Linked DNA regions of Tamandua tetradactyla. The protein of the gene in region 2 interacts with the protein of the main gene of each other region in a pairwise test. Links are inferred from orthologs where the notes say so. Each region holds a gene or a part of one and is shown on either strand. Other genes may lie near its edges.

Region 1 (6,981 bases), on a different chromosome or scaffold from region 2:
CACCAGAGACGGATTGGCTTTTAATAAAAGGGGATTTATTTTGTTAGTTCTTCAGAGGAAAGGCAGCTAACTTTCCACTGAGGTTCTTTCTTATTTGGAAGGCACAGGATGGTCTCTGCTGGTCTTTTCTCAAGGCCCCTGGGTTTCAGCAACTTTCCCCCGGGGTGACTTCTTTCTGCATCTCCAAAGGCTTGGGCTGAGCTGCAAGTGCTGAGATGAGGAATGCCGAGTTGCTTAGGCTGTGCTACATTGCGCTCTCTCATTTAAGCACCAGCCAATTAAGTCAAACATCACTTATTGCAGCAGACACGCCTCCTAGCTGACTGCAGATGTAATTGGCAACAGATGAGGTTCACCTACCGTTGGCTTATGTCCGCAGCAACAAGATTAGGTATGCTCACCTGGCCAAGTTGACAACTGAATCTAACTAACAGCCCCCCCACCCAAAAAAAAATCAATTGGCCAAAGAGATGGAAATAGCCCAAATGTCCTTTAGCAGAACAAGTGGCTAAACAAGCTGTGGTATGTACAAACAATGGAATACCACACAGCTGTAAGACAGAATAAAGTCATGAAGCATGTAACAATGTGGATGGACCTTGAGGACATTATGCTGAGTGAAATTGGCCAGAAACAAAAGGAAAAATACTGTATGGTGTCACTAATATGAACTAATATTAATAAGTGAAATTTGAGAGTTGAAGTTAAGAACACAGGTTATCAGGAGATAGAAATAGGGTAGAGATTGGGCATTTGGTGCTGAAGGAATACAGATTGTATAACAGAATTGACTGTAAAAATTCAGAAATGGATGGCACAATAGTACCTGATGGCATCACAATAATATAATTGTAAGTTTTGATATGTTGTGAAACAATGGATAACAGAGAATTAAATATCAAGAACATTAGATCATGGAATTATTGGATACAGAGTAAAGATATGTATATCTCAATTATTTAAAGATATGAAATTGAAAATATGAGAAAATGACAAGACGACATGAAAAGGAGTCAGAGTTTTAAAAGAGGAAAATTTTGAACTTATAGAGATAAAAAGTAGAATAATTGCAGTTAAAAATTTAATAGACAAGTTAAAGAGCATACTAGAATAGCTGACAAAATAATTAGTGAGCTGGAAGTTATATTTGACACCTAGCACACAGCACAGAAAGACAAATACATGGAAAATATGAAAAAATAGTTTAGGATCATGGAGGATAGCGTAAGAAGGCCCAACAGACATCTAATTTGACCTTATAAAAAAAGACTAGAAAGAATATGAGAGGCAATTTCCTCCCTATCTAATCTTTTTTTTCTTACATAGGCAGGCACCAGGAATTGAACCCGGGTCCTCTGGGATGGCAGGCAAGCGTTCTTGCCTGCTGAGCCACTGTGGGCCGCCCCTCCCTATCTAATTTAAGGCATGAATCCTCAGATACAATAAGGCCAATAAATCCTGAGCAGACTGAATGAAAAGAAATATATTCTCAGGCATATTTATATATTCAAATATACTTTTAATCTAATATTTTCCTTTTATTTATCCTTTATAGTACGTTTAGAGCATAATGTTGATTTTGTAAAGTATTTATGCAGTAAAGGAAGCAAAACAAAATATTTGTGATTAAAAATGGCAATGGGAAAAAGGTCTAAAATATGGGCAAAGATTTAAGTCAAAATATAATAACTAGCATTTTTATAATGCTAAAAAATATTTGAACATTAAAGCCTAGAAATAAAAACTGTTTAAGTAAATTTTGGTGCATCCATACATTAGAATATTGTTCGGCCACTCTAAATAATGTTTATGAAAAGTTTGTCATGGCATGGGAGATGTATGTGACATAATGACAAATTAAAAAATTGGAATTCAAAAAATAAATGGCAATAGGTTGGATAGAGTTAAGAACCCCGAGTCCAGACTGAAACTTATTCAACCATATCCATAACATTCCACTACAGAAACTTTATGAAAAATCTTAGTAATCACTAAACAAAGAATTTCCCTGCCTTTGTTCTTAGTCTTACATAGTTCCTTTCTCCTAAGGTAGCTTTATAGCTTCTCTCCAACTTTCATGGCCTAGTCAAGTGCACTGCCTCCAGCAGCCTTTCCATCTCACCAACCCAGGGTGAAACCTGAAAGGTTTATTGTCTATAGCTTTCATTGGGCAACTTATCATACACTGTTTTGAGACAGAATTGTTGTATTATTATTTAAAGTTATTGTATGAATATGTTACCTCTTCAACTGTAATCTCATAGTTTTTGTTTCTCCCACAGATTTTTAGGGGCATCTGAGGCAGCCAATACATATTTGTGGATTGCCTGAAATACTACTTGCAAAATAGACTTAAGTAATTGCAATTTTAAAGACTAAAGAGCCTTATTTCTGTTCTCTTTAGAAACTGAAATAGAGGCTGATTCTATGTGTTTGGGCAGTGCAAATTCTAGAATTTTTTTGTCTCTGCTAGGTACCAGTGAGCTGATCAAAAAGGAAGTAAAAGCCATAACAAAACCCTTTCAACATTGTTCTTATCTCAAATCACAGCAAATGGCCATTTTTTTCCATTCAAGGACTGAATGTCAAATCACATGCAACTAAATGCTGTTAGTGATAAACCACACTTTTTCTGTTAATAACATTTGTAAATGTGTATATTTGATGGCATCAGATATATAACTTTCAACATGTGTTTGAAAATTACCACTAAAATTATTAACCCACAAACACTGTGCCAACCTGGACCCTCGACCTGTGGTGAATAAAACTTCCCTTGTCTCTACAGCTTGCCGTCTCTACTTCCTTGCCCCAAGGAAAATGTAGTTTCCTTTGAGACTACTCATCTTCCTTCAGTTTCCATGACAGAGAATAAGGGTCAGTATTCTTCTCTTTCTCTCCAGTGGAACTCCCAAAATAATATTCCCACCCCTCAGGTAAATACATCTCTTCTTGAGTGTCTGGTCATCCCCTCATAACACTCCCCAAGCTCTTTCTCACCATATATGGATATCAATTGTCAAATGTAAGTCTGTAGCCTATTATGTAGCTATAGTTTTGCTTTATTTTAATCTAGATTTTTTTTTAAGGATTCAGAACGTCTGATCTAGAATATGAAGGAGACAGGGTGGTAAGCTAATGCAAATCAAGGTCATTGTCCCAGAGATCTCAAGTATGGACAGTTAGGGCCCTGGCTGAGAACTGCAATTTGGGGAGGTCAGTGCGATTCCTGTAATGTCTGAATAGTCAGCACATGGGCAGTCCTGGGACCCAGACTGCCTGGGTTTGCTACTTATTCCCTCTCATTGCCTGGGTTTCATTGTCAGTAAAGTGGAGGTAATGATAGAATTTACCCCTCAGGGTTATTCTGAGGATTAAACGAGTTAATAAAATACTCTGAGCAGTGCTTGGCACACAGCAAGGGAAATGTAAGTCTTGGCTGTTTTCGTACTGTCTCAACAATCTCCCTATAAAATACAGAATCAAAACGTTTATTATTGTTCAGTCCGTTTTTTCACTCAATGTTATATGACATGTTTTATAAATTTCACTTTCCGACCTCGCCCCTAAAAGGCAACTACACTAACAACAAAATCCGATAGTCGTCTTCAGTCCCTTTCCCTTCTCCAAACCTGCCATTTTCGGTCTCCCACATCATCCCAGCTTAGAATTAACTAGTGAAATAATGAATGACCAGAGCTCATTTGTTTGCTTATAGCCCACGTCGTCTAATCTAGTTGAACTAGATCCAGCGGCTATCTCTGGGCTGTCCGGGAGGAGGAGGAGGAGGCCGGACACAGGGCAGGGACCCGGGTAGAGAAGCCACACCCCTTCCCCCCGGCCCCTGCCGAGCAGTGCAAGGGTGGCCGGAAGTGCGGCGCGCCGGGGTGGGGAAAGGTGACTTGAGAGTCAAGCAGCCAATCAGAAACGAGTGTCCCACCGGTGAAGGCGGAAGGGAAGTGGTCTGGTTCCGGACGCCGCGGCTCGCGCCGCCATCTGTCATCTCAGCTCCGGCACCAGCAGCCCCTCGCCCCTGCCCCGCCGCCTGTCTCCTCCTCGGCCGACTCTGCTTCCCGCCCTTCCACCTCTGTGCCCGGTTCTTGTCGCTGGCTTCTTCCCCCCATGGATCTGGTCGGAGTGGCATCCCCTGAGCCCGGGCCCGCAGCGGCCTGGGGACCCAGCAAGGTGAGTGGGGTCGGGTTTGACGTACCTGCCCTATTCACCTGGGATGGTTCTTTGCCGCAGATCCTGGAAAGGGCTCCCCAGGCGACTGGGGAAGTTGTAGGACTGACCCGGACTACCTTAGAGAGGGGAGAAGCGGCTGCCAGGCCAGCATTGAAGTCGGAGTGGGAAGGACTGGGGTCTGAAACTCCCACAGGCCACTCTGGGTGTCCTTGATCCTTCTTTAGTTCTACACCTTGCGTTTTGAATCTCTGTACTATGTGTTGAGCAGTCCTCGCCAACATAAAGCAGTCCTCGCCAACAGATATTTATGTTTGAGGAAAAACAAGCATATCTTGTTTTTCACGGGCCAAATGAGTCAGCGCAATAATACAAAAAAAAAAAAAAAAAAAAAAAAAGTTGGGGCGAAAGATGGTTTAGGAAGCTGTCTCCTTAACTTGACAAGTGTGGTTATGCCTGTTGGTAATTTGTTTTGTAAGTAGTAAAAGATAAAACCAGGCACACCCTCCCTTCCCCTCACGCTAATTCTCAGTCGTTCACTAAATACTGTGAAACGGTTACGAATCCAGTTATCTGCCTGTGCTTTAACATTTAAAACTTTTTCCCAGAATGGCAAAAGGAAAACATTTATTTTACATTTGATCGGTGGCTTTCAGGCTCCTCCTTTCCATGAACTTTTGTTGGAAAAATGAAGACTCTTCTGCCACTTTATTGAGGGTTTGCTTGAGACCAAAAGCACTTTGACTGGGATTTTGTGTTCCTTAAATTATGATTGTGAAGGAATCACTCTTTTCGCTTCGTAATTGTTCTTTAGGTGCTAACACAGAAATTAATCTTACTGGATCTTCAGGCTAGGTCTTAACAGAAAAGGTATGTGTGTGGGGGAGATAATTAACTATTAAATAAAGGAAAATTAATTTTATATAAGTTCTTATTCTGTAGATAACTTTAGGGAGAATCTAAGATGTTCCATTGGCAAATTGGTTGCATCTGCAAGTGATTTTTTTAAAACTTTTATTGTAAGGTATGACATTTATACAAAGCAAAGCAATAAAAAAGCAATAGTTTTCAAAACACTCTTCAACAAGTAATTACAGGACAGATCCCAGAGTTTGTCATGGGCTACCATACAATCTTCTCATATTTTTTTTCTTTCTAGCTGTTCCAGAATATAGGAGGCTAGAAGGCTTAAATTTTTTTTATCATCGCAGTCACCTTTTTTTCCTTTTTTTTTTTTTTTTTTTTTGTGAAAAATAACATACGGACAAAAAAGCTATAAATTTCAAAACACAGCACCATAATTAGTTGTAGAACATACTTCAGAGTTTGACATGGGTTACAATTCCACAGTTTTAGGTTTTTGCTTCTAGCTGCTCTAAGACACTGGAGACTAAAAGAAATATCAATTTAGTGATTCAGCATTCAAATTCATTTGTTAAATTCTATCTTCACTGTATAACTCAACCATCACCTTTGATCTTTCCATCCCTCTCTTTAGGGGTGTTTGGGCTATGGCCATTCTAAATTTCTCATGTTGGAAGGGTCTCACTAATATGGGGTAGGGAGATGGAACTATCTGATGTTCTGGAGAAGCTAGGCCCTCTAGGTTTCAGGACTTATCTGGACCAGGGACTCATCTGGAGGTTGTAGGTTTCTGGAAAGTTACTGTAGTGCATGGAACCCTTGTGGGATCTTATATATTGCCCTAGGTGTTCTTTAGGATTGGCTGGGATGGTCCTGGTTGGGGTTTGGCCGGTTAGAATAGATAGCAAGGTCTAAATGAAGCTTGCATAAGAGCAACCTCCAGAGTAGCCTCTTGACTCCATTTGCCCTCTCTCTGCCACTGATACTATATTAGCTACACTTCTTTTCCTCCTTTTGGTCAGGATGGAATTGTTGATCCATGGTGCCAGGGCTGGATTCATCCCTGGAAGTCATCTCCCATGTCGCCAGGGATATCATGTCCCACAAAGGGGGGAGAGCAATGATTTCACTTGGAGAATTGGGCTTAGAGAGACTGAGGCCACATCTGAGCAACAAAAGAGGTCCTCCAGAAGTAACTCTTAGGCATGTCTATAGGTAGTCTAAGCTTCTTTGCTACCTACAGAAGCTTCACCAGAGTAAGCCTCAGGATTGAGGGTATGGCCTATTGATTTGGGTATCCCTAAAGTTTGACATAGTATCAGGGGATTCCCTGATGATAAAATTTAATTGTTTCATATCCTTTCTCCCATCCCTCAAGGGACTTTCATCTGCAAGTGATTTTTGTGTATTTTTTTCTGTGAAAGCCCTGTTTTAAGGTTAAGATTGACAGTCATAGGACTGGTACTGGTAAATATATACTCTACATTTAAAATTCCTCAAGTTAAGCATCTATAAAGTCTGATAAAATTGTCAAATGGGACAAACTGCTCAGGATACTTCCTAAACACACAACAAATTTCACTTAAGAATCAAATTCATTAGTATAATATTTGATATCATTTATATTCTCATTTAAGGATACAGCATAAAAACTGTCAAATTCCATTTTCATCATTCAACAAATAAGATGGTCTTGGGGTTTATTGATGTCATACTGGGAAGATACCATTTTGACAGGCAAAATAATTAGAGGCTGCAAGTATCACTTAATCCTTTCCTTCACTGAATTAAAGGAAGACCAAAGTAATTAACGAAGCCTGCATGGAGGAGGTAGGGATTTGAGGAAGGTCTTGAAAAATGGAGAGAATATTACCAGTTATTCTCAAATTTTCTGGCCTTGCACTATTAAAATTATTGATAACCCCAAATAACTTT
Region 2 (7,270 bases):
TATCATCTCACACCCACCAGAATGGCCATTATCAACAAAACAGAAAATGACAAGTGCTGGAGAGGATGCGGTGAAAGAGGCACACTTATCCACTGTTGGAGGGAATGTCAAATGGTGCAACCACTGTGGAAGGCAGTTTGGCGGTTCCTCAAAAAGCTGAATATAGAATTGCCATACGACCCAGCAATACCATTGCTGGGAATCTACTCAAAGGAATTAAGGGCAAAAACTCAAATGGACATTTGCACACCAATGTTTATAGCAGCGTTATTTACAATTGCAAAGAAATGGAAACAGCCAAAATGTCCATCAACAGACGAGTGGCTAAACAAACTGTGGTATATACATACGATGGAATATTATGCAGCTTTAAGACAGAATAAACTTATGAAGCATGTAATAACATGGATGGACCTAGAGAACATTATGCTGAGTGAGTCTAGCCAAAAACTAAAAGACAAATACTATATGGTCCCAATGATGTGAATCGACATTCGAGAATAAACTTGGAATATGTCATTGGTAACAGAGTTCAGCAGGAGTTAGAAACAGGGTAAGATAATGGGTAATTGGAGCTGAGGGGATACAGACTGTGCAACAGGACTAGATACAAAAACTCAAAAATGGACAGCACAATAATACCTAATTGTAAAGTAATCATGTTAAAACACTGAATGAAGCTGCATCCGAGCTATAGGTTTTTGTTTTGTTTTGTTTTGTTCTTACTATTATTACTTTTATTTTTTTTCTCTATATTAACATTCTATATCTTTTTCGGTTGTGTTGCTAGTTCTTCTAAACCGATGCAAATGTACTAAAAAACGATGATCATGCATCTATGTGATGATGTTAAGAATTACTGATTGCATATGTAGAATGGTATGATTTCTAAATGTTGGGTTAATTTCTTTTTTTCCGTTAATTAATAAAAAAAAAAGAATATATGCAAAGGTTTATCTATAAAAATACCAGTGCAGAATTGTTCACAATAGCAAAAATCAGAAATTCACTAATAATTGGAAATTGGCTAAGTAAACTAAGGTACAACTATATAAGAGAATATCACTCAGCCACTAAACATCATGTTTTCAAAGACTATTTAATGATACGAAGAGAAGTGAAAAAAGCCTTGTACAGCATAATCTGATTTTTGGAAAATAATATATACAGAGAAACGTGAAAGGATATACACCAAAATGTTAACAGTTATAGGACTATAGATGACTGTGTGCATTTATGTTTTCTCATTCTCCTACATTAAATATTGGAAGTTATCTGCCTCCCCTCTTTTCCCTACTTTTGTAATTAGAAAAGAGAAATCTTAAAGTAAAATTAGTGTGTAGTTATAGTGAACACCAAATGGGCCATACTTTGCTTGTCTAGCTGCAATCTCCTGCCAGTTCACTATCCAGAAATCTTCCCTGAGACCCTTACCAGATAGTCTTCTTCAGAATTTAGCTTCACTATGCTCCCATAAACCCAGATAAGACTGATTCTGGGAAGGTCTGGAGTGGGTGGATAAAGATTGTGGGGGAGGGGGGAGTGTGGTGGGGGTGGAGTGCTAGTTGGTCCTGGAAATTGGGACGGACAGTGTGGGGAGTCAAAAGAACCACCACTTATGAACTAAGGGGTGGAGAGGAAGATTTATTGCACCAGTTCTTCAGCTCATACACACGTGCCACGCCCTTCACTATGTCAATTCTTTAGTTCTCGTGTCCTTGTTCTTGAAAAACCTCCCTGAACAGAGGTTGGGGAACTTTCCAGCACCACAGAGAACTCGCCCGCAACCCCCTGGGTGAGAAATCCTTCTTCCCTACCCCCACCCCAGCAGAGGAGAACTGTATAAAAGGAGAAGTAGCCAGATATTTCCTGGCTATGACCCCCGCAATGGCAGCTGCTCACCACTACAAAAAGCTATAAAGGTTCTGATTGGTCCTTCACATGGACCCACATGACCCACACAGCAACCAATCAGGGAAGAGGCTGTTCGAAACGTTTATTCTATTTGCTATCAACTCACTATTAGCACAGTCTCAGTAATTGGGTTCTAAATGAGAGGAAGTGTGACAAAGCAAAACAAAATAAAAAATAATGAGAATAAATGTTAGGAAGTGTGAAATGCTGAATACAAATATCTACACAAACACAATCTCATCTTTGTAACTTGGCTCAAGCCTTTTCCTTGAGTATGAGGAATACTAGGACAAAGTTTAGTTTTTTTTCTTTGTGTCTCTATTGTACCTCTACCTTAATTCAAATACTTCCTCGTTCAACGAGCCTTTCCAGGCATCCCAGTCTAGATTCACCCATAGCTATGTGGGGGCTCCTTGTGGCACGTCCCCACACCCTACCCAGTGATGCAGATAATACATTGTGGTCCGGGGGTACAGGCAGCAACAACCTTGGGATCAAGAACATAGGAATTGGAGTCAGATATCCCTGGGTTTGAGTCCTGACTTCTCACCTCTTCCAAGCTTTGTGCTAGTGGCATGATGCTTTGTCTCTCTGAATCTCAGTTTTCTCTCCTGTAGGATGTGGATAATAATGTCAATCTTCAGAGTTATTGTGGGAGTTAATCAAAGCAGATGGGGCCAAGAAATGGAGTTGGCATAATTATAACTGAAGGCAGGCACTGTGTTTTATTCATTTTTGCTTTCCCATTGTGCCCATTTCATTGCTTTATACATAGGAAGTACTTGCTGACTACTTCATAAAATTAAATAAAAGTTGAGAGAGTTAATGTACTTTACGAACAGGATAAGAAGTGACAGTATCACTAAATTGCCTCCCTAAATGTTGCCGAAGGAATTAAATATGCATAAATGAACAACTGACCAAGACAAAAAAAGGGGCTTGTCTTTTTAAATGTGGAGGTTCTCTGGAGGATGCCTAGAATGCGGAAATGTGTTTAGCACTTCGGTTAATCAAAGCATCTTTCATTCAGTTTGCTTTTTTCAGAGATCAAACAACTTTCTAAGATTGTACTTCTTCCCAGAACTCTGTGTATTTGAATTGGCTTAATCATAGTGTAGTGACTTAAAGCATGGACTCAAAAACCATACTACCTCACTCAAATCTTGGCTTTGCTGTTAGCTAGCTGAGTGACCTTGGGTAAATAAACCTCTCGGTGCCTTAGTTTCCACATCTTAAAGCAGGGATCATAGTAATAGTTTACCTTTTAGGGTTGTTAGGATGATTAAATGAGTAAATATTTGCAAATACTTAGTACCTGGCTCATGGTACATGTGATATTATTATTATTATTATTGGAAATAATATCTTCCAAGTCTCTCTTTCCTGCTGAACTGAATGTACCATAAAGACAGACTTCATCAGTTTTGTCTACTGTAAATTGATAAATGTTTTAGACCCTTGGAATTACCTCCAAAAAAAAAGGCTTGTAATCCAGCTCCCACCTCCCTGCTTTTTGACTTTTAAAACTTTAATTTTTTGTAGAGCTGTGCTCCAGTAGCCATGTTTCTTGAAGATGATTGTATAATGATATAGCTTTCACAATGTGACTGTGTGATTGTGAAAACCTTGTGTCTGATGCTTTTATCTACCTTATCAACAGATGAATAAAACATATGGAATAAAGATGAATAATAGGGGGAACAAACGTAAATGTAAATTTAGAGTGTAATGCTGATGATAGGTGAGGGGGAGGGGTGGGGTATGGCATGTACGAATTTTTTTCTGTTTCCTTTTTATTTCTTTTTCTGAATAGATGCAAATGTTCTAAGAAATGATCATGATAATGATGATGAATATGCAACTATGTTGTGAATTAGTGATTATATATGTAGAATGGAATGATCCGGAGTCACGAATATTTGCATTTGTTAGGTGTTTTTTGGTATTTAAAAAAAATTTTTTTAATTAATTAAAAAAACATTTTTTTGTACATGAACCTTGAGCTTTTTGGATTTTGTTTTATTTTACAGGTAAAGTGACTTTGGAAAGGAAATAGTTGGAACAATTAATACTTCCCTTTTGGACTATCTGAGGGGACTGTGATCTGAGAGAAAGCCTGGAACACTTAATGACTATCAGGAGTTCATTTCTAGGAGCCTTTTGCTTTACCTGGGAAAGTTCTGAACGCTACAATGGAAAAGAAAGTTGTGAATTTGCCTTTAGGAGACGCTGTTTGTCAGTGTTACCCCAACCAACCTCGGAAAAGGGGAGGGAAAAGACAGGCGATGATGACATCAGCAGGAAATTAATATCAGGTTACCCAAACCCCAAACCAGAAGATCCAGTTTTTTCTTGCACAGCTAGCAACAAGTCTTCAGTTCTCTTCCCGCGCAAATGGGAGCTTCCTTCGAACTTGGAGCACACGGAGGATTCTAATTCCTTTAAAAATTTCAGGCATTTTTTCCAAGAACTACTTATCTCTGGAAGATTCGTGGAATTTGGTCTAAAGGTATGTAACACCCTCTCCCTGTCCTGCCCCCTTCCCCCCAACCCCAATCCTCCACTGCCTGGGGTCTCGCTTCATGTTGTAGCTTATAAAAACTTGTAAAAACTTGTCAGCAATGGCACTGTTCCTGCCTGCGTTTATTTGCTGTGCCAGGGAAAATGAAAGTCAAAACACACACACATACACAAAACAGGGAGTCTCCAACATGGCTTTTTACTGGCAGGAATATGCATATGCTGATCCACAATTGGAGACCAAGTTTAGGAGCTTCATTAAGTCAAGAGATCAGAATCTTCAGGAAAATGCAAGGCAAATATATGACGCGTTAGATACGAATTATTTGATGATTCCATCAAATCATGGCTACCAGAAGGGAGAACCTCACAAATGATCCTATGAAAAATGGCATTTTTTTTCCTAACAACAAAATTAATATATGTTCATTGCATAAAATTTGAGAACTCAGACAAGAGCCAAGAAAAAAAATGTATATTATCTATAGCTATACTTCCTTGATATAACCACTCTATTATTTTTTCTTTTGCTATATTGCCCTTCCTTTAGAAAGTAGTTTTCTGTTTCTAAAAATAGCCATCTTGCATAGTGAATATATACCTCCAAGTTCTTACAGAATGAATGATATAATCGTGAAAAATTTCATCAGTGCTTTGCTCATCTGATTAGAATAAAATTTAGTGTAGAGAATACCATAGTTTATTAACCCATTAGGTGTAAACATGGACTTGGGTCATTTGTAACTTCCTACGCTGATGTTTAAAGCTACCCTTTCTTCCAGGGCCTAGGATTATGGCTTCCATTTCTGCCCTGTTCTGGTTAACACTCTGAAGCTCAGGATATAACAATGCTCCCCCAACGTCACCGCCTTGTCCTTGGATTGTTGGGCATTTCGGAAGGATAAACCCTCAGATTTTTTTTCTTTATTTCTAAAGTTTAAAACATAAGGCCAAGTGTTATTTCTTGGAAATGAATTTGGGGCCCAAGAGCTCCTGCTGGGTTACCGGCCCCAGAGAGATGAGGCCTCCTGATGAACTAGCACTGGTGATATTTTGATTTGGAGAGAAATCAGGATAAACCAAATTAGAATAAAACTTCTTCCACAACTACTGAAAGTTATTGTGCAAGCTCATATTGGGGTAGAGTGTTCTGGGCTGTTGGTATTTGCAGTGGGTCTTACAGTCATTTTTTATTTTCCAGCACTTCTAAGAAAATCTAATGCCCAGAACCGAGGAGGCCAGGACTGGGGGAGGGCCTGGAGGGTTGGGGTTCAGTGGGTCCTCTCTCGCTGACTCCCTGCCCCACCTCTCTCCTTCAGGCTGCTCATGACAACTCAAGTTCAAGTTCCAGATCTGGGCACCGGTTGGGAGGAAAACTGTAGCATGAACTTTCGCCGGACACTCCTGGTTATTGATGAAAACCTAGGGGTCCAAGATGTGGAGGCCCTCAAGTTTCTCTGCAGAGACCGCCTCTCCCACAAGAAGCTAGAGGAGTGCCATTCAGCCTTTGAGATTTTTGATCAGCTCCTGATAGAGGACCAGCTGAGTGAGGAAGAGCCTTTCCTGCTTGCCGAACTCCTGTACACCAGCAAGCAGAAATCGCTGCTGAAGCACCTCGGGTACACCAAGGAGCAAGTGCAGAGTTTGCTGCCCACTCAAAGGAAGATCTCTTTGTTCAGGTGAGGAGAGGTCTGTGATCAAGATGGGAAGGATTTCCCTTCTCCTCTCCTACTTCATCCTGCAAATAACCAGTGTTCGTTCAAACCATTGGGCCTTGATGACAGAATGATTCTAAGCCAGAAAGTTTCTTAGCTTCAGGTGCAAATGAGATGAAAGATTGGTAGGTGAGCAGAGCTTCAAAACCAGCCTGGGGCTGGAGGTGGCTTCTCTTTGTGTTTCTCACTGTCAGGTGCCGCTCACCTCTGTGGAGCCGAGCCTGCTGCTTCTCCTGTCCCCTTGCACTCAATTCTTCCTCCTGTGTTCCCTGAGGTTTCTCCCTCCAACTTGGGGCCTTGGGAAGAGAGTAATGCCTACCTTGAGCCAAATAAGCAAAAAAGGAGCTGTGCCTCTGGGGTAGAGAGGGAAAGCGTTCATGTGATGTCCAGTTATAGATTTTTTAAATACATTTTTTGGGTGGAAGAAACCCAGAGAGGCAAATGCAGGCATCATGTGTCAGACCTTACATAACACTATTTGAAGTTGTTCTCTGATGTAGCGCCCGCATCAGAGAGCCTCACAAGTGTATTTTATTGGCTCTGGGCTATTGGAATCCTTCAGGCCTTAACATCTGAACAGCTGGCTCCAAGAACCAGGTCTGCACTAGGGCAGAGAAGGGGATCAAGTAGGTCAGAAGTCAGTATTTCCTCTCGGCTGGTTAAACCTGAGGACAGTCTCTGATATACAGAAGTGTTAGTGTGTAAATGAAATATTCAGTTTTTCTGATTGTGGACTGTGATGCCTAATTTCATGTGTGAACACCGACTAACACATCGATGATGTGAAGAGCCAGGGGCTTGTGTGGTTCCTTTCCTTTTTCAATGGTGGAGTTTATATTGGCTGGGATCAGGTCCTCTCTGGGGAAGGTCTGTAAAAACACCTGCCTTTTTTAGAATGGAGTCAGGAGAAGGGAAAGGTTGTCGAATTGTATTTTACCCCTTCTCTATGTGATGGAAAACAGCACTAGACTTGGAATCAGAAGGCCTGCCTCTATTGCTTACTCTGTTATCTTGAGTCCCTTAGAGACTTGATGCTTTAGTTTTTGTGCCTGTAAATGGGGGTAATAATTGTCTAATCACAGGGTCGAGATCATTCAAAGGAGAGAGAATGCTTGTCCAAG

The links.
Region 1: the proteins of CASP10 (region 2) and RIOK3 interact in binary tests that used the Homo sapiens proteins (3 or more experiments, as listed by UniProt). The link is inferred for Tamandua tetradactyla from reciprocal best matches to the Homo sapiens genes CASP10 and RIOK3.

Annotation. Positions count from the first base shown.
Region 1 is NC_135344.1:60,013,158-60,020,138, reverse strand, and holds the start of RIOK3 (serine/threonine-protein kinase RIO3), read left to right. Parts: upstream 1-3,936; 5' UTR 3,937-4,122; coding exon 4,123-4,185; intron 4,186-6,981.
Region 2 is NC_135329.1:175,723,388-175,730,657, forward strand, and holds the start of CASP10 (caspase-10), read left to right. Parts: upstream 1-4,232; 5' UTR 4,233-4,423; intron 4,424-5,753; 5' UTR 5,754-5,760; coding exon 5,761-6,113; intron 6,114-7,270. UniProt on the Homo sapiens protein: Involved in the activation cascade of caspases responsible for apoptosis execution. Recruited to both Fas- and TNFR-1 receptors in a FADD dependent manner. May participate in the granzyme B apoptotic pathways.